Sus scrofa: one gene and its partners. The protein of the gene in region 1 interacts with the protein of each later gene in a biochemical or structural test. Links are inferred from orthologs where the notes say so. Each region holds a gene or a part of one and is shown in the gene's direction. Other genes may lie near its edges. The genes, in order: SMAD2, ZFYVE9, SMURF2, SKI and ERBIN.

The links.
Region 2: the proteins of SMAD2 (region 1) and ZFYVE9 are reported together in a solved structure, tested with the Homo sapiens proteins (2 studies listed by BioGRID and IntAct, with this or other methods). The link is inferred for Sus scrofa from reciprocal best matches to the Homo sapiens genes SMAD2 and ZFYVE9.
Region 3: the proteins of SMAD2 (region 1) and SMURF2 form a complex in vitro, tested with the Homo sapiens proteins (3 studies listed by BioGRID and IntAct, with this or other methods). The link is inferred for Sus scrofa from reciprocal best matches to the Homo sapiens genes SMAD2 and SMURF2.
Region 4: the proteins of SMAD2 (region 1) and SKI form a complex in vitro, tested with the Homo sapiens proteins (4 studies listed by BioGRID). The link is inferred for Sus scrofa from reciprocal best matches to the Homo sapiens genes SMAD2 and SKI.
Region 5: the proteins of SMAD2 (region 1) and ERBIN form a complex in vitro, tested with the Homo sapiens proteins (2 studies listed by BioGRID). The link is inferred for Sus scrofa from reciprocal best matches to the Homo sapiens genes SMAD2 and ERBIN.

What each region holds. Positions count from the first base shown.
Region 1 is NC_010443.5:97,481,422-97,485,623, reverse strand, and holds the start of SMAD2 (mothers against decapentaplegic homolog 2), read left to right. Parts: upstream 1-1,400; 5' UTR 1,401-1,401; coding exon 1,402-1,637; intron 1,638-4,202. UniProt on the Homo sapiens protein: Receptor-regulated SMAD (R-SMAD) that is an intracellular signal transducer and transcriptional modulator activated by TGF-beta (transforming growth factor) and activin type 1 receptor kinases.
Region 2 is NC_010448.4:159,882,474-159,885,985, reverse strand, and holds part of ZFYVE9 (zinc finger FYVE domain-containing protein 9), read left to right. Parts: intron 1-135; coding exon 136-216; intron 217-2,902; coding exon 2,903-3,065; intron 3,066-3,512. UniProt on the Homo sapiens protein: Early endosomal protein that functions to recruit SMAD2/SMAD3 to intracellular membranes and to the TGF-beta receptor.
Region 3 is NC_010454.4:14,469,679-14,473,190, forward strand, and holds part of SMURF2 (E3 ubiquitin-protein ligase SMURF2), read left to right. Parts: intron 1-1,611; coding exon 1,612-1,807; intron 1,808-3,250; coding exon 3,251-3,354; intron 3,355-3,512. UniProt on the Homo sapiens protein: E3 ubiquitin-protein ligase which accepts ubiquitin from an E2 ubiquitin-conjugating enzyme in the form of a thioester and then directly transfers the ubiquitin to targeted substrates.
Region 4 is NC_010448.4:64,186,803-64,191,065, forward strand, and holds the start of SKI (ski oncogene), read left to right. Parts: upstream 1-1,462; 5' UTR 1,463-1,510; coding exon 1,511-2,479; intron 2,480-4,263. UniProt on the Homo sapiens protein: May play a role in terminal differentiation of skeletal muscle cells but not in the determination of cells to the myogenic lineage. Functions as a repressor of TGF-beta signaling.
Region 5 is NC_010458.4:44,414,495-44,418,789, forward strand, and holds the start of ERBIN (erbin), read left to right. Parts: upstream 1-1,494; 5' UTR 1,495-1,632; intron 1,633-4,295. UniProt on the Homo sapiens protein: Acts as an adapter for the receptor ERBB2, in epithelia. By binding the unphosphorylated 'Tyr-1248' of receptor ERBB2, it may contribute to stabilize this unphosphorylated state.

The sequences.
Region 1 (4,202 bases):
TATTACTTTGCATCTTTAACTTTTAGACGGGTTCAGAAAAACCATGATTTTATAGTTTATCTGTCTTGTTTTGTTTGTTAGGGTGAAAGTGATGGTCTCTTGTGATTTGCTACATCCTGTTTAGAAGTGGAACTCCTTCATGGAATACTTTCTGATATATAGTCTGGCAAATACCTGATAAAATTTATCTGACCTCACTCAGTTTGATTTTCTACAGTATTTCTCAGAGCTGCATTTCTAAATCTTTTCCATTCTTCTCAAATCTAAACTCTCTAGTTCTGCCCTCAGTGGTAAATGTTCTTATCTCTTACTTTGAGATTAAAGCTGTTGACATTAAATTTTAATTGAGGGACTTGGTAGAGAGAGTAGGAAGAATTTATGGTAGGTGCTTAGAAAACTAGGCAGATGAAAAACTGACATAATTAGCTCTGGAGAAAAAGAAAGAGATGTACAAAAAAGGAAACAGGATTATATAGTAGTTTACTACTAATCTCTTCAGGTATAAAACTACAGTTGGAAGATAATTATTTTCAGGGCTGGAGGAAAAGCAAGTGATTGTGGTGTAAATCTTCATTTTCAATAGGTATATTTAACTTGATACTTCAAGGGGGACCATTGCTTAGGTATAAATAGCAAGAGTAAAGGTTCAAAGATTTTAAAGAGTTGTACCTTGGTGTGGGGAGAAGAGCTTTATTTGACTTTATCCACTATGTGGGTTGTTACTTAGATAGAGAAAAAAATATTTTTAAAATGAAGCTTAATTAAAAGTCTTCTCAAAGTGAACCACATCTCTTCCTCACAGTCTCTCGTTACCTTTACTTCTGGTTGTTTACTTCACACTTGATGCCTTTCTCCTTTCCCCTTGTTATGACCTTAGACTTTACTTTATGATAGTTATGAAAGTTTAAAACTTCGGGGAGATTGGCCCTGTAAATTAAAAAAATGTATTTTTGTTAAGTGTCTTGAGAATAGACTGAAATTCTAAAAACATAAGGAAAACTTTGTTTTAGTGAAAATATTTTATTGCTACTATTAAAAGGTAAAAATATAGTAGTATGGGTAGTGATTAATGGTCCAGTGTTGATAAAGATAAAAAAATTTTCTGTCTTGCAAAATTGTTCTCTTGGCCCACTTATCATTGTCTTGTTTTTAGAAGGATTTGTTTCCACAGTTCATTTAAATTCGTGAAGACTTGTCATGGGTGAAAAAGATAACTTCTGAAAGTCTGTTCTGAAAGTAATAATTTGAATTTCTTATCTCATTTTGTAATTTGCTTTTGCTCCTGTGTTGAAAGCAGTAGTTGATGGTAAAGTTAGCCTCTCAACTGTCCTTTCCATATCTTTTCTAGGTTAGATTAAGGAGGATATTTTCTTAGTGTGGACCGCTGCCTTTGGTAAGAACATGTCGTCCATCTTGCCATTCACTCCGCCAGTTGTGAAGAGACTGCTGGGATGGAAGAAGTCAGCTGGTGGATCTGGAGGAGCAGGTGGAGGAGAGCAGAATGGACAGGAAGAGAAGTGGTGTGAGAAAGCAGTTAAAAGTTTGGTGAAGAAGCTAAAGAAAACAGGACGATTAGATGAGCTTGAGAAAGCCATCACCACTCAAAATTGTAATACTAAATGTGTTACCATACCAAGGTAAGTGTGGTTAGGTCAGAAACTTGATGGCCATCCTGTTGAAAATTGCTTAAAGGAATCTGCAGGAAAGTTACTGAAATTTTGTTACATGCAATTCACCTGTCAATAGTGATTATTAAAATATGAAATCTATTTCTAACCTGTCATATTAATTTTGTTGGACACGATAAGACTTGTTTATTTTATAAATCCTTTTCTTGAACAGCGAGAAAGTTTAATCAAGCAAAATAAAATACTTAGATTTTACTAAGGTTTATCTTCACTGTCTTCATTTGCCTTCATTGCCTAAATGCTTCATTGTATGTTATCCTAATTTTTGTGATTGAGTGACATTTGAATAAAGATTCAAAGATTTTTGTATCACTAGTGCAGTAGTGACTGACAGTTTCCTGCTCCTCTGGTCAAAACTTCAGTAAGGAGTTAACAGAGGCTGCTAACATTGTGACGAGTTATGGCTTTTGTTTGAGTTGCAGCATTATTTCTAAGAAAGAACAGTATATGAGGCAGCTTCTTAGGTGCCATAGTCAGATCCTGTCTTGAAGACCTGCCTCGTATAAGAGAAGGACCTGTTACCTAAGAGGTTGAAGTTTTATTAGTATAAATTTAATCATTTACAGATCATTACCACTGTCAGAAATTCTGGTTTTTCAAATAGCATAACGAGTAGTTTTTAAGTGTTGTAGTGTACACTACTGTAGTTGTGCACATTGCAGGGTTATGGGGAGTGTGAGTTTATAGCATTTTCTAAAATGATTGTTTGCAGTGCCATACACATAGGCTAGCATATGGCACATGAAACCATTCTACTTGACATGTTTCTAATGAGTTTTGGGAAATAACTCTGGATGCTTGTGATAATAGCTCCCAGTGACACCAGCCTTTCTTTCTTGCAGATACTAACTAGAATGTTTCCTGCCTTGTTTTGTTTGGTAATAAAACAAAATTACCGATTACTTTCCATTTCTTTTACCTTGTTTCATGTATTTCTTTTTTTTTTTTAACTTTTATTTTTATTTTTTTGCTTTTTAGGGCCACACCCATGGCATATAGAGGTTCCCAGGCTAGGGATCGAATTGAAGCTGTAGCCACTGGCCTGTGTCACAGCCACAGCAACGCCGGATCTGAGCCGCATCTGCAACCTACACCACAGCTCACAGCAATGCTGGATCCTTAACCCACTGAGCGAGGTCAGGGATCAAAACTATATCCTCATGGATGCTAGTCAGATTCGTTTCCACTGAGCCACAATGGGAACTCCTTGTTTCAGGTATTTCTTAAGTAAGGGTCACTTTTCTTGGTTTATTCTTTTGTTTTAGAAATGCTTATGGATGCCTTCCGTGTGAAAGGCACTGGTTTTAGGCATATGGGACACAGCATGGATGAAATGCGGAGTTCCTGCCCTCCTGAGGGACAGATACACACTGTAAACAAGTGGACAAATTAATGTAATTTGAGATGGTAATGAGGACAAAAGACAGTGACTGAAGGATTAAAAAGCTGCTTTGGATTGGATTGTGACACTTAAGCTAAACTTGGAGAAGTAGCAGGTAGCTGAAGGAAGTCTTCTAGGCAGAGGAAGGGGCAAGCATACAGACGCCAGGGTGGGACATAGCTTGTCGTATTGGAGACTTAATGGATCGAAGTAGAGATGCAGTAACACCAAATGAGCACAAGGCTTGGGAGGAGTCAGATTAGATGGGGCATCAGGAGGCGGTTTGGATTTTAGTCCCAGTACAATAGGAAGCAAATGAAGATTTTTAAAGTGGATTTTTAAATTTAAGTAAATTTTAGAAGAAATTTTTATCTTTATATCTTAGATCACTCTGGCTGCTGGAGACAAGAGGGTGTGGATAGTGGAGTGTGTGGGCATGTGTGTTATAGACTGGTGTGGTATAGTGGTGTGGACGCAGAGGAATGAGGCGACTGTTAAAGTAATCCAGAATGGAGATGCCAGAGGCTAGGCTGGGCTGGCGAGGTGGTGGTAACTCGGGAAGTGGATGAATCTGGTTGGAAGCTGAACTGACAGGATTTGCTAATGAATTGGCTAGGAATAAGTCAGGCCATATTTGTTGATTTTTCATTGTATAGTGTCTGATGTTTCAGTTCAGTAAACATTTAGAAACATAAAAGTCTTTGCTCTTGAGTTGCTTACTTTCTAGAAAGGAAGATAAACTTTAAAAAAGAAGAAAGATAATTTCATAACATCCAGGGGTTGTTCTGAAAGATGTATGCTTAGGGACCTATGTCCAAAGAGGGGGAGCCTTCCCTACTCCATGCTGTGTGGAAAGTTTCCTGCTGGAGAAAGATTGATGCCTGGGTTGAGTGGATGTCAAGGAGGACTTTTCAGGAGAAGCTGAATCCCTCCAGAGAGGCTCTGTGGTATTGAGGGTGGCAGTTGGCCAGAACTGGTGAAGGGTGTCCTGGGAGTTGGAGGTGGCATATGGCAGGAGCGAGAGGCTGTGTGGGTGTGAGGAGCCCCCACATCCTGCACTTAGGGGTTCACCCTGAACCCCAGCGTGGTTGGGTGAGAGTGGAGTCCTCGGTGTTAGGTAAAGAAGACTCCTG
Region 2 (3,512 bases), on another chromosome or scaffold:
GGTGTATAGAGTCAGTGTTTTTTATTTTCTATATGATGGTGGTTGGAGTTCCCAGCTACCAGATACTTCATTATTATTCTCAATCCCTCCATCTCCAAGTCTTTGTTCACTAAACTCTTTCCATTGCTATTTTAGTGACTGGTGCCAGTTTCTTTGTGTTCAGTGGCGCTCTGAAGTCCTCGTCGGGATATCTTGCCAAGTCCAGCATTGTGGAAGGTAACGAATGAGTTACTGCATGTACCTTATACAGTCGTAATTATACAAGGGTCATGAATGGAAGCCTTGACACTTTGGCGTTAGACTTCTGACTCGTTTATTCAGTAGCATCTCACTCAACAGGTAGTTAAAACTACCACAAGGGTGCCTTCTCTCCAGAGAAGGAAATAAGTGGGAGAAATACCATGGGACACCAACATAAAAATTAAGAGATGGCTTTTCAGAGAAAGACAAAATACCATGTGATGTCACTTCTATCTGGAGTCTAATATGTGGCACAAATGAACCTTTCCATAAAAAAGAAAATCATGGACTTGGAGAATAGACTTGTGGCTGCCAAGGGGGAGGGAGAGGGAGTTGGGTGGATGGGGAGCTTGGGGTTAATATATGCAGACTATTGCCTTTGGAATGGATTAGCAATGAGATCCTGCTGTGTAGCACTGGGAACTATGTCTGGTCACTTATGGAGCATGATAATGTGAGAAAAAAGAATGTGTACATGCATGTGTGACTGGGTCACCTTGCTGAACAGTAGAAAATTAACAGAACACTGTAAACCAGCTATAATGGAAAAAAAATAAAAATCATTCTATAAAAACAACAAAAAAAAAAAGAAAGAAAAGAAAAAGAGAGAGAGAAAGAGATAGCTTTTCAGAGCTAAGGTACCCAAGGGGACGTAGTCTGAGTTCAAATATATCATTGGGTGCGAATCTGTAAATATGCAGATGAATTTCAGCCCCTGTTATCCATGAGAATGCTGCAGTCACCATTTGGTGTACAGAATGATGCATTTGCTGCTGGTTTGCTATAATTAGATAGGACACATATCCTGACAAAAGTTAGTTTAATGAAAATCAGTGAAAGGCTAATGGGCATACTATTTATTGTCTTTGTCAATTATTCTTCACTGTATTTTGGTCTGGTTACTCTTGGTGCATAACAAATTAAACCAAAATTTAATGGCTTAAAACAGCTATTTTACTGTGCTCACTGATTCTTCTGCATCTGCCCTTGACAGGGCAATATAGGGATGGCTTGACCCTGCTCAGTGATGTCTGGGGACTCAGTTGGAATGCCTGAAGGGTGGTTGTTACCTGATGGCTGAGAGCTAGAATTATCTTAAAGTTTGTTGACTTATGTATCTGGAGCCTGTCCTGGGATGATTTAAAGACCAAAAGTAGTCCCTGGAGTCCTTGCACACTGGACTCCTTAGCATGCAGCTTTGGGATGGTTGGACTTCTTACACGGTGGCTCGGGACTCCAAGCACAAGTGTCCAGCACAAGGTAGAAGCCTCGTTGCTTTTTATGACCCAAACTCAAAAGTCCTACAGTGTCACTTCCACCATACTCTAGTGTTGGAAGTGGTCAAAAGCCTGCTCAAGGGCTGAGGACTTACTCTTTCTCGATGGGGAAATGGGAAAGTAGCATTGTAGGAAAGCACGTGAGACAGGAGGTATTGTGGTCGTCTCCGGAAAATACAATCCGTACCCGCAGTGACAGGTTTTCATTTCCACGTGAGCTCACTCCAGCACCTGAAGAGCAGTTCTTCTGAGGGTGGATTTCATTGTGTTCATTGAAATACATAGATAATCTTGTGTATGTTAATAGAGATTGATTTTGATCTCCTTTTTTGGTAAACTTAATAAAGCTGAAAGCGAAGAACAAAGCATGCTAATATTTCACAACTAAATGTCACAACTGCAGAGCAGAACATGCTATTAAGAAATTGTTAGGAAATCTAGGTGTTAAGTAGTTGTTTGGTCTTAGCGACTAATTAATGCCTGTGTGATCAAGTATTGACTGCATTTGAAATCTATCCTGACAAGATGATTAAAAAGCACCCTTTAAATGTTGTCAAAGTGATGATTCAAATGGACACAGATCCTTACAAATGCAGAGTAATTATATTTTAAAATTATGTCTTCGGGTTAGGAATTTCTTAGCTCTTATGTTTCACTAAATGTGCCAGTAGAGCACTTGGTTGCCCATTTATGAAAATTTTAGTCATGCTCTTCAGAAATTATTTCACCTGACAAAATTTTGTATTAACAAAGCAGGTTAATTGCTCAGCATGTGACAACTTTCACCCTCAGTTTTCAGTGTTTGCCTTTGACTTGGGTATGTAGCAGCCCCTAACAGTTATAATCTGTTGGCTATATGATAGCCCAGGTAAAACGTATGTGTAGGTTGGTCTTACTGTTAGTCAGTACATGAATTTATTCTCCTTCCCAGTGATTTATTTAACAAACACTGGGCATTCACTGTATGCAATCATAGGACAGTGGGAGAGACAGAAATGCAAAGAAATAGATATGATTAGAGCATGATAAATGTCACCGTGGAAGCAGGAACAGAATGCTCTCTCTGAGTCCAGAAGAGGGATGTGACTGTGCGTAAGTTTTCCCTTTGAACAGTCTCACGAGAAGCTCTCAGTTGTGCCTGAAGTGAAATCCATAGGTAGGAGTTTTAAGCAGACTCCATCTTGGCCTTTGCGCTTTGTAACACGTTCAGCCAGTAAGAGGTTCAGCTCAAAGAGCAAAACGTCTTTGCATCTGTCAGCTTTAGAGGGCAGAGCAGAGTTTTACATTAACCCTAGAGGGATTTGCTCGATGCCAGGAAGGGGTTTTGTCTCCCCTCCCTGGCTGTGCCTTGCTCCCACCTGTGTTATCTCGGTGCTGCTTCTCAGACGGCGTCATGGTCCAGATCACTGCGGAGAACATGGATGCCTTGCGGCAGGCTCTGCGGGAGATGAAGGACTTCACCATCACCTGCGGCAAGGCGGATGCTGAGGACCCCCAGGAGCACATCCTCATCCAGTGGGTGGATGACGACAAGGACGTCAACAAGGGGTAAAGCGCTGAGCTTCCCCGCTGCGGCACTTCCTTCTGGGCCAGGCTCTGGGTTTTGGCCATCCTGATGTTTTATAACTTTACTGAAAGCCCTGCCTACAAGAAAGGACGGCTTTGTACAATTTGCACATGGAATTTGTATTTCTGGTTTCTTGGCTTAATTTCTTTTCTTCTTTTCTTTTCTTTTTTTTTTTTTTTTTTCCAGGGCTGCACTTGAAACATATGGAAGTTCCCAGGCTAGGGGTCGAACTGGAGCTACAGCTTTGGCCTATGCCACAGCCACGGCAACACCAAATCCTTAACCCACTGAACAAAGCTAGGGATTGAAGCTGCATCCTCATGGATACCCATTGGGCTCCTAACCTGTTGAGCCACAACGGGAATTCCTCTTGACTTAATTTCTAAAGCAGTTTTGGTACATGTTTTTGAAGGGAGGATGAAGGAAGG
Region 3 (3,512 bases), on another chromosome or scaffold:
TGCCGGCCTTCGCCAGAGCCATAGCAACTGGGATCTGAGCCATGTCTGTGGCCTACACCACAGCTCACAGCAACGCCGGATCCTTAACCCACTGAGCAAGGCCAGGGATCGAACCTGCAACCTCGTGGTTCCTAGTTGGATTCGTTAGCCACTGAGCCATGACGGGAACTCCTTTTCATTTTCTTAATAGTGTCTTTTGAAAGCAGAAAGTTTCTTTGAAATTTCAATGAAGTTCATTTTATCTATTTGTACTTTTATCATTGTGCTTTTGGGATCATATTTAAGAAATCTTTCCCTGACATCAGTCATATAAGTTTTCTAACTGTGTTTCAAAGATTTCGTGGCTTGAGATTTACATTAAGGTCTCTGATCCGTTTTGAGTTTTGTATTTGGTGTAAGGTATACACCAGTTCTTTTAGGGGAGTATAGATTAATATAGTTAAGGTGTATTTTAGGAGTTTTTATATATTTGTTTTGATTTATATATGTGTGTATACATACATATATATATATAACACCTTTATTATAATGTTTACAAGAGTAGTAAATAGTGATTTATAATTTTTATCAAAGCTGCTTTTTTCTCTGGATAGTTATTAGTTAAATGTTCCAGGTATAAAGTTTAGCATGGTATTTAAGAATCACGTATATAAAGTAAGTTGAGTGATTTGTTAGTGAACTGAAGGTTTTTTTTTTTTTTTTTTTTTATTTCCTCATAGCTATCATTACTCTTCACTTGTAAGTTAGGAGATTGTAGTCTTGTATGTAAAATTCCAGCTGAATCACTCAAGGTCTGCATAGATGTCCATAGTAAATTCTCTGACTTTTAATTTCCTGACTGTTTATTGGAATTAACTATTCATTATATCGTAAGAGTCTTAAAAATTCTTAGATGCAACTTATATTTTTGCCAAAGAATAAATATATTATTAGGCAGTGTGCCTTTTAAAAATTGTTATATTTCTGCTGTACTTGGGAGATTATTTACATGTATTTATGGTAAATCATATATGTGCAGTTAGAAGTCACTTCAGCACAGTAGACAATGTGAATGTACTTAATGCCACTTACTACAATGCTTAAAAATGGTTAAAATGTAAAGTTTATGTTACGTGTATTTTACCACAATAAGAAGTTGTCATAAAGCATTTAGACTTGTTTGTAAAGTTCTCATTTCTCTGTGCCAATAATTTCCACGTGACCTGTGGTCTAGACTGTAGCGTGCCTTGAAGGGGGCCCTGTCAAGCTGCCAGTTCAAAGTTTGTCTATTCCAGAGAGACGGACTCTAGATAACAGGGCCAGGCTTTGGCATGTGCCTGAATTTTAAAATGAGTGATGGTAAACTATGCGGAAGAAAATGGAAATGGTATTTGAGAAAGTTGTTCTCAGCAGCTGTATAAAGCTTTTGAGATAAAACTCTATTATCCAAGTCCATAAATTCTGAGAGATAAACTTTAGAATTAGTTTATTGTTGTCAAAAATGTCAGGCTAAGAATATAATAAGGCCTAGAATGATATAGCTAGACTTGGTTTAGAGTATGATGCTATTTTAAATATATGATTGCTGTCTTTTTTGTTTAAAATACTTTAGTAATATTTGTGTACTTTTAGTCGACAGAACCAGTTGAAAGACCAGCAGCAGCAGCAGGTGGTATCGTTATGTCCTGATGACACAGAGTGTCTGACAGTCCCACGGTACAAACGAGACCTGGTTCAGAAGCTAAAAATTCTGCGGCAAGAACTTTCCCAGCAACAGCCTCAGGCTGGCCATTGTCGCATTGAGGTTTCCAGGGAAGAGATTTTTGAGGTAAACTTTTTTTATAGTTAATTGAAGTGTAGTTGATTTGCAGTGTTCTGTCAATTTCTGCTATACAGCAAAGAGGTAAACTTCAAGTCTTACTCTAAAATAGAGAAAAAATTAAATTTCACTGATTTATTCTGTTTTCCAAGTATATTTTGGGGCACTTAGGTCTCTTTAGAATGGGAGAATTTTACTTCCTTTTTTTTTTTTTGGTTGTGCCCAATGCATGTGAAGTTCCCTGGTAAGGGACTGAACTTGTGCCACGGCAGCACCCCAAGCTGCTGCAAGACAGTGTTGGATCCTTAACCTACTGCACCACAAGGGAACTCCTAGAATGGAAGAATTTTCATTAATTTTTTTTAATTGAAGTATAGTTGATTTACAATGTTGTGTTAATTTCTGCGCTACTGCAAGATGATTCAATTACACATATACATACGTCCTTTTATTTAAATATTTTCCATTGTGATTTATCATAGGATATTGAATATAGCTCCCTATATAGTAGGACTTTGTTGTTCATCATTAATTTCTTTTTTAATTGTGGAGAATAAAGGCAATAATACTGGAGACATTTAATATAAGATAAACATATAAGTAAGAGGGAGTGTGAGATACTCTGTGCAGCTTGATCTATGTATTGCAAATATTTATTTGATTTGAATTTTAAAAGTCTACAATACTATCCATCCCTTATTTTCTGATTCTTCCAAAAGGTAAGGGACTCTTAAGTCAGAAAATCCCTTTGTTTCATTACTGTTGGACTACTTCCTTAATTTATTGAAAATCTTCCTTTCTAGTATATCCTTTATCTTTGGATTTTATAGCTCTAATAGCAAAGTTCTTACATAGTAAGTGGCAGAGGTCCAAGGCAGGGTTTCCCACTCATTAAGGGTTCTTAGGCAGTAGACGTTTGGGCGACTTTGTAATCCTTCTCCCAAAGGATCAACTTTTTTCTCTCAGAACAGTTCTGACCTTATTTGTAGTCCGTCATTTGTATTTTTAAAATAATACAAAGTTGTCAGTTTAATGAAGATTACATTAATGACTACTTATGTTTTCTGAAACTTCTTTTTCTTAACTTTACTTTCTACGGTGTCTGTGACCTAGAGGTTAATAAAAAAGTTTGGTCCTGCTATGAACTTCTGTTTTTTGATGTGAGTGGAATCATTGCTATGGTTCAGAGGACTTAAATATGGAGTTTTGCACTTAGTAGGCTTTTAATATAATATTTATCAAATGAATTGGTTCCAGTAGTTTTAAGCTATATCACATTTTGTTTTTAGAAGTTTGTTTAGATTTCAAACACTTGGAGTTTATCTGTTGATTTGATAAACAATTTCCACCTTATTTAAATAAACATATGTTTTGTAGGTGGAATGGGAGGGAGAGTTTAAGTAATAGGTTAAAGGCACCTAGTAATAATAGTGTATTAAATGTTTTTTTCAGGAATCATATCGGCAAGTCATGAAAATGAGACCAAAAGATCTCTGGAAGCGATTAATGATAAAATTTCGTGGAGAAGAAGGCCTTGACTACGGAGGAGTTGCCAGGTGAAGACTTGCTTCTCAGTAACTGATGTGTGGATCCTCATGTTCGCAAATTTAAGATATTTCCTGTGGCGTCGCTTTCTCATTGATACGTGTTTTCTAGCGTAATACTCCCTATTGTGTGCGATGTAAAGGATACCCGAATAGGTGTATTGCTAATG
Region 4 (4,263 bases), on another chromosome or scaffold:
GGCCCTTCCTGCCAGCAGTCATGCCTTGGCGGTCGGTCCCCAGGACAGGCTGCACGGGGTCTGTCTCCTGCGGGGGGGGTGTGTGTCTCCGGGGTGCTGCACTCCTAACCCACATCGTGTTGCTTGGTGTCCCTGTACTATGTGCGACTTGGATCATTTTGCCTGGTGTCCCCATCGTGTGCGTGGGGACCGCGGCGTTGATGGAGGACGCGCGGCCCGTCCTGTCCGCTCCTCAGCTGGTCTGCGGTTGTGGTGGGGGCCCCGTGTGGGTTTCTGGGCTCTGGTGGCGACGGGGCGGCGGGCCGGGGGCCTTCGCGGCCGCGCAGGAAGCGGCCTCCGCCGGATGAGGGGCCTGGGGCGCCGCCGTCGCCCCCGCGGAGCCGCCTTCCGGCGGGTGGGGCCGATCGGCGCCGAACAGCGCTGAACCCCTGGCGGCTGCGGCCGAGCGGAGCCGAGCGGAGCCGAGCAGACCCGAGTCCCCGGCGGGCTGGGCCGAGCGGAGCCGAGTCCCGGGCGGACGGGCCCGAGCGCGGCCGAGCGCGGCCGAGCGCCGGGCGTGGGCGGGGGGAGCGCGCGTTCCTGGAAGAGCCGGGTCGGGGGGCCGGCGCATTCCAGGCCGGCGCTCGGCTGAGGCGGACGCGCGGCCCCAGACGACGCGCGGGGCGGGGCGGCGGCGCGGCGCGGGGCGGGGCGCGGGGCGGGGCGGCGGCGTGAGCTCAGCGCCCGGCGCTCAGTCCGAGCTGGAGCGAGCCGCCGGGAGGATGTGCGCCGATCTCCGCGCCGCCGCCGCCGCCGCGGTCTGAGGCCGCCGCCACAGGCGCTCCGCCGCCCCGGAAGCCGCGCGCGCGCGCGCGCGGGCGGGCGGGCAGGCCGCGGAGCCGGGCGCGGGCGGCGGGGTGGGCGCGGGCCGGGCCGGGAGGCCGGCGGCGGGCGCGACGCGGCCGGCCAGCGCCGCCGGGACGAGCCGGGCGGGCGCCGCGCGGTGGGAGGAGCGGGGCGGCGGCGGCGGCGCGCCGCGCGAGGACGGCCCGGCGGGCCCCGCGCCCGCGCCCCCGCTCCTCCCGGGCCCCTCGGCCTCGGCCGCCGCGGCGATTCGCGCCTCGCGGCGCCGGCACCTGCCCGCGCGCCCCCCGCGAGCCCCGGGCCCGCGAGCGTTGGCGTTGGCGTTGGCGGCGCGCGCTGGGGCATGCCCCGCGCCTAGGGCCCGGGGGGCGCGCGGGGGGCGCGCGGGGGCCCGGGCGGCGGCGGGCGCGGCGCGGGGCGCGTGGATGTGGCGCCGGGCCCGGGCGGCGGCGGGCTGCAGCGGCGGGACCCCTTCGCCCCGCCCGCCTTCCCCTTCGCGCCCCCGGGCGAGGCCGAGGCCGCGGCCGTGATCGGCCGGGAGCCGGTGGCGGGGGGCGGCCGGGGCCGGGGCCGGGGGCGCCGCCGGGGCGCGCGGGGCGGCGGCGGCGGGGGCCGCGGGGGCCCGGGCGCGCGGGAGCGGGAGCGGCCTGGGGAGCCGGAGCGCACCATGGAGGCGGCGGCGGGCGGCCGGGGCGGCTTTCAGCCGCACCCGGGGCTGCAGAAGACGCTGGAGCAGTTCCACCTGAGCTCCATGAGCTCGCTGGGCGGCCCGGCCGCCTTCTCGGCGCGCTGGGCGCAGGAGGCCTACAAGAAGGAGAGCGCCAAGGAGGCGGGCGCGGCCGCGGTGCCGGCGCCGGTGCCCGCGGCCGCCGAGCCTCCGCCGGTGCTGCACCTGCCCGCCATCCAGCCGCCGCCGCCCGTGCTGCCCGGGCCCTTCTTCATGCCGTCCGACCGCTCCACGGAGCGCTGCGAGACCGTGCTGGAGGGCGAGACCATCTCGTGCTTCGTGGTGGGCGGCGAGAAGCGCCTGTGTCTGCCGCAGATCCTCAACTCGGTGCTGCGCGACTTCTCGCTGCAGCAGATCAACTCGGTGTGCGACGAGCTGCACATCTACTGCTCGCGCTGCACGGCCGACCAGCTGGAGATCCTCAAAGTCATGGGCATCCTGCCCTTCTCGGCGCCCTCGTGCGGGCTCATCACCAAGACGGACGCCGAGCGCCTGTGCAACGCGCTGCTCTACGGCGGCGCCTACCCGCCGCCCTGCAAGCAGGAGCTGGCCGCCAGCCTGGCGCTGGGCCTGGAGCGCAGCGAGCGCAGCGTGCGCGTGTACCACGAGTGCTTCGGCAAGTGCAAGGGACTGCTGGTCCCCGAGCTGTACAGCAGCCCGAGCGCCGCCTGCATCCAGTGCCTGGACTGCTCTCTCCTGTACCCACCGCATAAGTTCGTGGTGCACTCGCACAAGGCCCTGGAGAACCGGACCTGCCACTGGGGCTTCGACTCGGCCAACTGGCGGGCCTACATCCTGCTGAGCCAGGACTACACCGGCAAGGAGGAGCAGGCGCGCCTCGGCAGATGCCTGGACGACGTCAAGGAGAAGTTCGACTACGGCAACAAGTACAAGAGGCGGGCGCCCCGGGTGAGTGTCCTGCGAGCGGCGGCGGCGCGCCTGGGGGGGGGCGGCGGCGGTGGGGGGGGGGTGGTGGCTGTGGGCAGGGGCTGGGGCGCGCGGTGCGACCTGTGCTTCCTCCGCCTCCACACGTCTCGGTGTTTTGTTTTGTTTTGTTTTAAGGAGACTGGGGTGGGGGGGCAGGGGAGTGTCCTTGTCCCCCTAGAGGGCCAGGTAGCCCGGGAGGAAGAGCCTCCTGTCTGACTCCCAGCCTGAGCCAGGCTGGCCTGGTTGGGAGCCCTGGGGAGCCTGGGGCAGGCTTGGTGGGCGAAGCCTTGCTGAGGCCCACGGTCATTGCCCAGACAGCCGGGAGGGGCAGGCTGCAGACCTTGGACTCTCTGTCCCGAGTCCCCGGGAAAGTGGTTCTGGCTGGGCCCAAGCTGGAGCTCCAAGTCCAGTCCTTCCTCGGGCCCAAAGCAAGTGTCCAGCCCCCATGCGCGAGGGGGACTGCCCTGGCCCCCAAGCTCCCAGGCTCGCACACGGGGTGCCTGGCACTTCCCAGCAGGCAGAACTTGGCCAGGCGGGGCCTGTTTGTGCCTTGAAGTCTCGGGAGACAGACTCAAAGCCCAAGCCAGGTGTCCAGGCCCTGGTGGCAGGGGGCCGAGACTTGGCGACTCCAGCTCTCTGTGTCTGCCCTGGCCTGGCAGGCAGTGAATTGTGGAGTCCCCCGTGTGGGGGCGAGGGCTGCTTGGCACAGGGCTTGGGGACTGGTCAGCGGGCACCCAGGGCCCCGGGTGTCAGGGTAGCCGCCGGCCTGTGATTCGTTTTGGACATGTCCTTATCTCCTTGTTTCCTTCTCGCTGAAACGCCGAAGGGTGCAGCAGGGAGGCCGCTGGCCGAGGCGCTGTTGTTTGCCAGGCTGGGGGTCTGTGTGATCCGGCCTGGCTGCTCCCGGGCCACCAGGCGCCCCAGCCCTCCATCAGGGTCGACACCAACTTTTCATGGCGTCTTCCCCCCGCCCCAAGTATTTGCAACTTTTCTTTGAAATATGCAGGCTTATTAAATTGCACACACAGAATGCTGCACTGGCTCAGCTATTCTTGGGAGGCCTAATTAATTCAGCTATTGCATCAAACTTTTTTTTTTCCAAATCTGTGAATAGATGCTCCCCCCAGTTCTCTCTGGGCGCCTCTCCAGCGGAGTGTCAGAGTCTCAGGGAGCGGAGGAGGGGAGGGAATAAGGGCCTGCTGCCCGCGCTCAGAGGGGCCACCGCGTGTGCGTCCGTGTATCTGGTGGTGGTGCTGCCCTTGGCTAGGCCAGCGCCCAGGTGGCAGCTGTCTGCAGGCTGTGGAGTTGGCACGGGGTGGGGGAGCCGGTCTGGGTGGGCAGCTCGGTGGGGGAGGGTGCCCATGGGAACGGCTGCCGGCAGATCTCAGCAGGCTGGCCAGGCCCGTCGTGCAGGCTGCTGTTGGCTGTGGGTGGCGTGATGGGTGCTCCCCGGGGCCTGGGGTGCCCGCTCCCTCGACAGCCATCTTGCCGGCGCTGGTGGGTTCTGGCGGGCTGGTTAAGCCTGTGGTGGGCAAGGCTGTGGCGGGTTCCTCTGCTCCAGAGTGGACAGCAGAGGGTCCACGGGTGGTTGGGACTGCGGCAGGGTGTGTGCCCGTCTGGGTCCTGGTCTGGGTCCTGGGTGGTTGGGACTGTCTTGCTGGGGTCTGCTTTTTGTCATCGCTGAAGGCCCTTCCGGGCCCTGGTGTCCGCAGGCTCAGGGAAGGCCTGGCCCAAGCTGGTGGCCTGGAGGGGAGGCCGGAGCATGC
Region 5 (4,295 bases), on another chromosome or scaffold:
CGCGGCATATGGAGGTTCCAGGCTAGGGTTGAATCGGAGCTGTAGCCACCGGCCTACGCCAGAGCCACAGCAACGCGGGATCCGAGCCGCGTCTGCAACCTACACCACAGCTCACGGCAACGCCGGATCGTTAACCCACTGAGCAAGGCAGGGACCGAACCCGCAACCTCATGGTTCCTAGTCGGATTCGTTAACCACTGCGCCACGACGGAAACTCCAAGGACTCTCTTCTTCCAGGCTGGGCGCAGGGCAGCCGGGATCGACTTCGCCCGCATCCCCACCTTGGGCGGCTGGGGAGCAGCACGCAGGCCTCCCGGGCCTGGGCCAGAGCTGGCCTCACGCCGGACCTAGCTCGCGAACCCCCGGCCGCCGGCCCCGCCTCCCGGGCCCCCAAGACTATCACCCCCCGCTGCCGCCGCCGCCCCCCGCCGCCACCGACGTCGGCCCGCACCGCCCCCGCGCGCGGTGACTGGCTCGCGCCGGCCTCCAGCCCGGCTGTTGGAGGTTGGGGCGAAGCGGGCGGGAGGCCGCCCCGCCCCCGCCGCGGAGCCGCCGCCGCGCGCAGCCTCTTCCCCCCTCGCCGCCGGGGCGGTGGCGCTGTTGCCTCCGCGGCCTGTGAGGCAGTAACTCCCCTCCGCCCCAGCCCCCTTCCTCCTCCTTTCTCTCCGCTCCCTCCCTCCCCTCCCCTCCCCTCCCCTCCCCGCCCCTCGCAGTCTCTCGCTCGAGTGAATGTGGCGCGGCGGCGCGGGACGCAGTCTCGGCCCCTGCCGCGGCCCCGCGAGCTTGTGAGGAGACGAAGCCGCCGCCTGCCCCCACCCCCTGCGCTTCCCGGGGGAGCCACCGCCGCCAGGGAAGAAGAACGAGGAGGGGAGCGAGGGGACGGTGGCGGGAAAACAGGAGGGGGAGGAGAAGAGGGCTCGAGGGCAGGGAAGGAAGGCGGGGAGGGACGTACGGAAGGACGGACAGCCCGACGGCCGGCCGGGGGAGGGGGCCGCCATCGAGCCTGCCCGGCCCCTCGGCTCGGGCTCCGGGCGGCCGCGGCTGCGGCCGCGCGGGCGAAGGGCGCGGCAGGCGCTACCGAGACAATAACCCCGCCGCCCGGCTCCGGGGGTGGCGGCGAGGAGGCGGCGGCGGCCTAGCGCGGCAGAGGCTCTCCCAGCGCCCCGGTGGCATCTTTGCCCCCGCGGGCCAGGTTCGCCTGCCGTCGGATATCGGGGCGCGCGGGTCGCCCGGAGTCCCAGGCTCTCGGCTGACGCCCCCTGCCCTCCCCCGCCCGACGCGCGTGGAGCTGGTTTTCCGGGTTCCCCTGGACCGAGCTGGATCCTGCTGCTCGCCAAGGCAGGAAGTGAGTTTCGCACGGTAATTCCGGGCGGTGTCACGAGTGAAAAGTTTTTTTTTCGACGGAGATCCTAGTTGGGGCTGGGAAACTCCTGCAAAACTCGAGACCAGGAAGCCAGCCCGCTTCCCAACCCCCACCGGAGCCACCTACTCTTCCTACTGCGGGAGGCCACTCCACATCCGCTCTCACCGGAGAGAGAAATTCGGCTGGATCCGAAGTGACTAATGAAGGGGAGGAAATCATGTCAGGCGAAGCCTTGAAAAAGCTGTCCTGAGACACTGCCCGACCGAAAGGTAATTTTCACCCAAAGTGTCTGCGAGTCACAAAGCTCCCCGGCCAGGAAAGAGAGGAAACTTTAGTGTTTTCCACTTTTTCTCAAGTTGCCCTAAATTCTCCCTCTCTCCTGTCGGACGGGGTAGTGATTTAGGTGCAAAGCAGTAGAACTGATTTTATTCTCCTTTCTACCATCTGGACCCTGGTCATTTTAGAAGAGGTTGTAAGAATGCGGTGGGACGAAAAGTTTTAAGCAATTCCGAGGAAAGAATGCCTTTGTTCAGCAGAAGGTCCAGAAATCTTAGTTTCCCGGAACATATACAATGTATGTTTTTGATTTATTAAGTTGCTGAACCTGACAACTTTTGTTTTGGATGAAAGTTAGGTCACTGCGGCGAGCAATCGGCTGCTGTTGAGATGGCTGCCACAGTATTTGTTTATACTGTTACCGATTATTTTGCTTTTGCATTTAAATGTATATGGAGTTATTTAGTTCCAACTCTTATGACTGTGTTTCATTGGGTTTTATAAACAAAAAACTCTTTGCCGTTCTTAGTCGTTTTTTCAGGTGGGTAATATATATGTCTTCAGTAACTTGTTCTTTTCGGACATTTATAACTTTATAATACTTGTTTGGTGTTGTCTACAAGCTACTGTCTACAAGATTTTTCTTGTAACTGACCTAGTAGGGAGAAAAAGTGTTACGGCTAAAGAGTGATGATTAAAAAGCAAACATGAATGCCTGTAAGTGGTTTGATTTGTTAGGACTTCTGTGCAATTCGGAACTGAATGTATAGGAAAGGAAGTAAAACGCTTAAAACAGTGTTCATGGGCATCACAGTGATTGTGATAAATAGCTGTGCTTTTTGGTTAGCACATTATTTACATTTTTTTGTTGTTGTTGGCCCAAATGTTTTGACCGGGTCTGCCACCTAATAAGTGATGAGTATCTGCTGTGGGGGCAGGGATTAAGTGAAGCACGGTGACATTCCACCAGTCAGTTATAAATATAAACACTTCTGAACCAGTCGGTAGTCTTTATAGATCAAACTAGTTTTGGTTGCTGCAGACACAGACGGTTTCTTCTGTGGTGTTTTTAATGAGTGTCTTTTTAAGTTTGGTTCCCCCCCCCCCGTGCTTTTTTGGTAAAGGGAGGTAAAAGATAAACTCTGCTCTTGAATAAATGTCAAATAAACGTGGTATTTTGTTTGTAGATATATCTTAAATGTAAATTAATATTTATTTGCCCTTGCCACCACAAGAAAAATGGTTGGCTTTCTTTAGTTCCAAAAAGAGACAAGGTAGGTTTTAAACAGTAGGTTCAAATAATTTCACAACTTTTTCTTTGTTACTTCAAATTAAGTATGTTTCAAAAAGGGGGTCTTTTAACTATTACTATATATTGTTTTGATTTTTTTTTTTCTTGGAGCTTAGTCTCTGGAGCTCCTTTTTAAAAACAATTTTGTAGTTTTTTAAATTGTTGGTAAGATTTTGTGAACCATCAAGTAATTCCTATTAAGTGAAAGTAGCTTTATCAAATAATTTAAAGTATGTAAGTGATCTACTTTATGATTTTAGAACTTAAAATTAGGCAACGAAAGAGGTTATTCTTGGGCATCTGAAAGAGGGGAACAAAATAAATGGCATTGAACTTCGGTTTCCTTATATGGTTTATACTTGGCTTCAGAGCAACAAAGCCTTAATAGAGCAAGTCTTTTATAGAGAATTATCACTTTGCGAAAGTGTTCCTTTCTCTGTGTTAGGAAATTTTACTTGAAAGAAGTATTATAGTCCTCAAAAATACCTATTTAAATGCCTGTTGTTAGATATAGCTCTTGATTTTTTTTCTTGAGGGAGCATAGTATGTATAGATGCAGACAACATGTTTTAAAAGATGTTCACCTTTGTAGTTGTCTTTGATTCCTTTTTCCCCTCAACAAGGCAAAATTTACTTTGAGGTTTATTTATTTTATTAGTTTAGCACTGGATTAACTTAATGAATTTTAGGTTTTATACTGTTGTCAAACTGTAAATATTTTTCAAAGTTTTGTTTAAAATTTGACAGTGGTTTGAAAATAAGTTTAAAAAATGGTCATAAAAATATTTTAAAATGGCTTCAAATTTTGGATATTTTTCTTAGTATTCTGTGGGTTTTTTAGATTAAATTCACAAATCTGGAGTACTTCCAAGGTGTTTGTAGAAAATGCGCACTTGATGGCCCTGTTTGTTAAAGGTACTGGGAGTTTTCAAAAGTGATAAACTTAATCTTTCAACTAATTAATTCAGATATTATGAAGTTTCCCTACTGTTTGTGAACAAATTATTGCCAACTTTTCATGTATAAAAAGCTTACAGAGGTTCCAATATGGGAACCAATTTTTTATTGCTTGTTTTTTCTTCATGAAGCAATAACTACAGTTAGAGACATTTGATGTGTATCATTGGTAAATGTCTAAAACTCAGGTATTTTAGAGATTTTGGTAGTGAGCTCATGGCAGTAAACAGTACCTCACTTTAAGAGACAAGAATTTCAGAAAATTAAGTGCATATTTATGCATTTATTTTAAATTATTGCCTGTAGATAAATATGGTAGTGATTATGAAGTATTTGGGATTCTGTAGGTTTTAGTGATGTTAGATAGGAAAGTATTTTTTTTTTTTTTTTTTTGTAATTTCTAGTTGT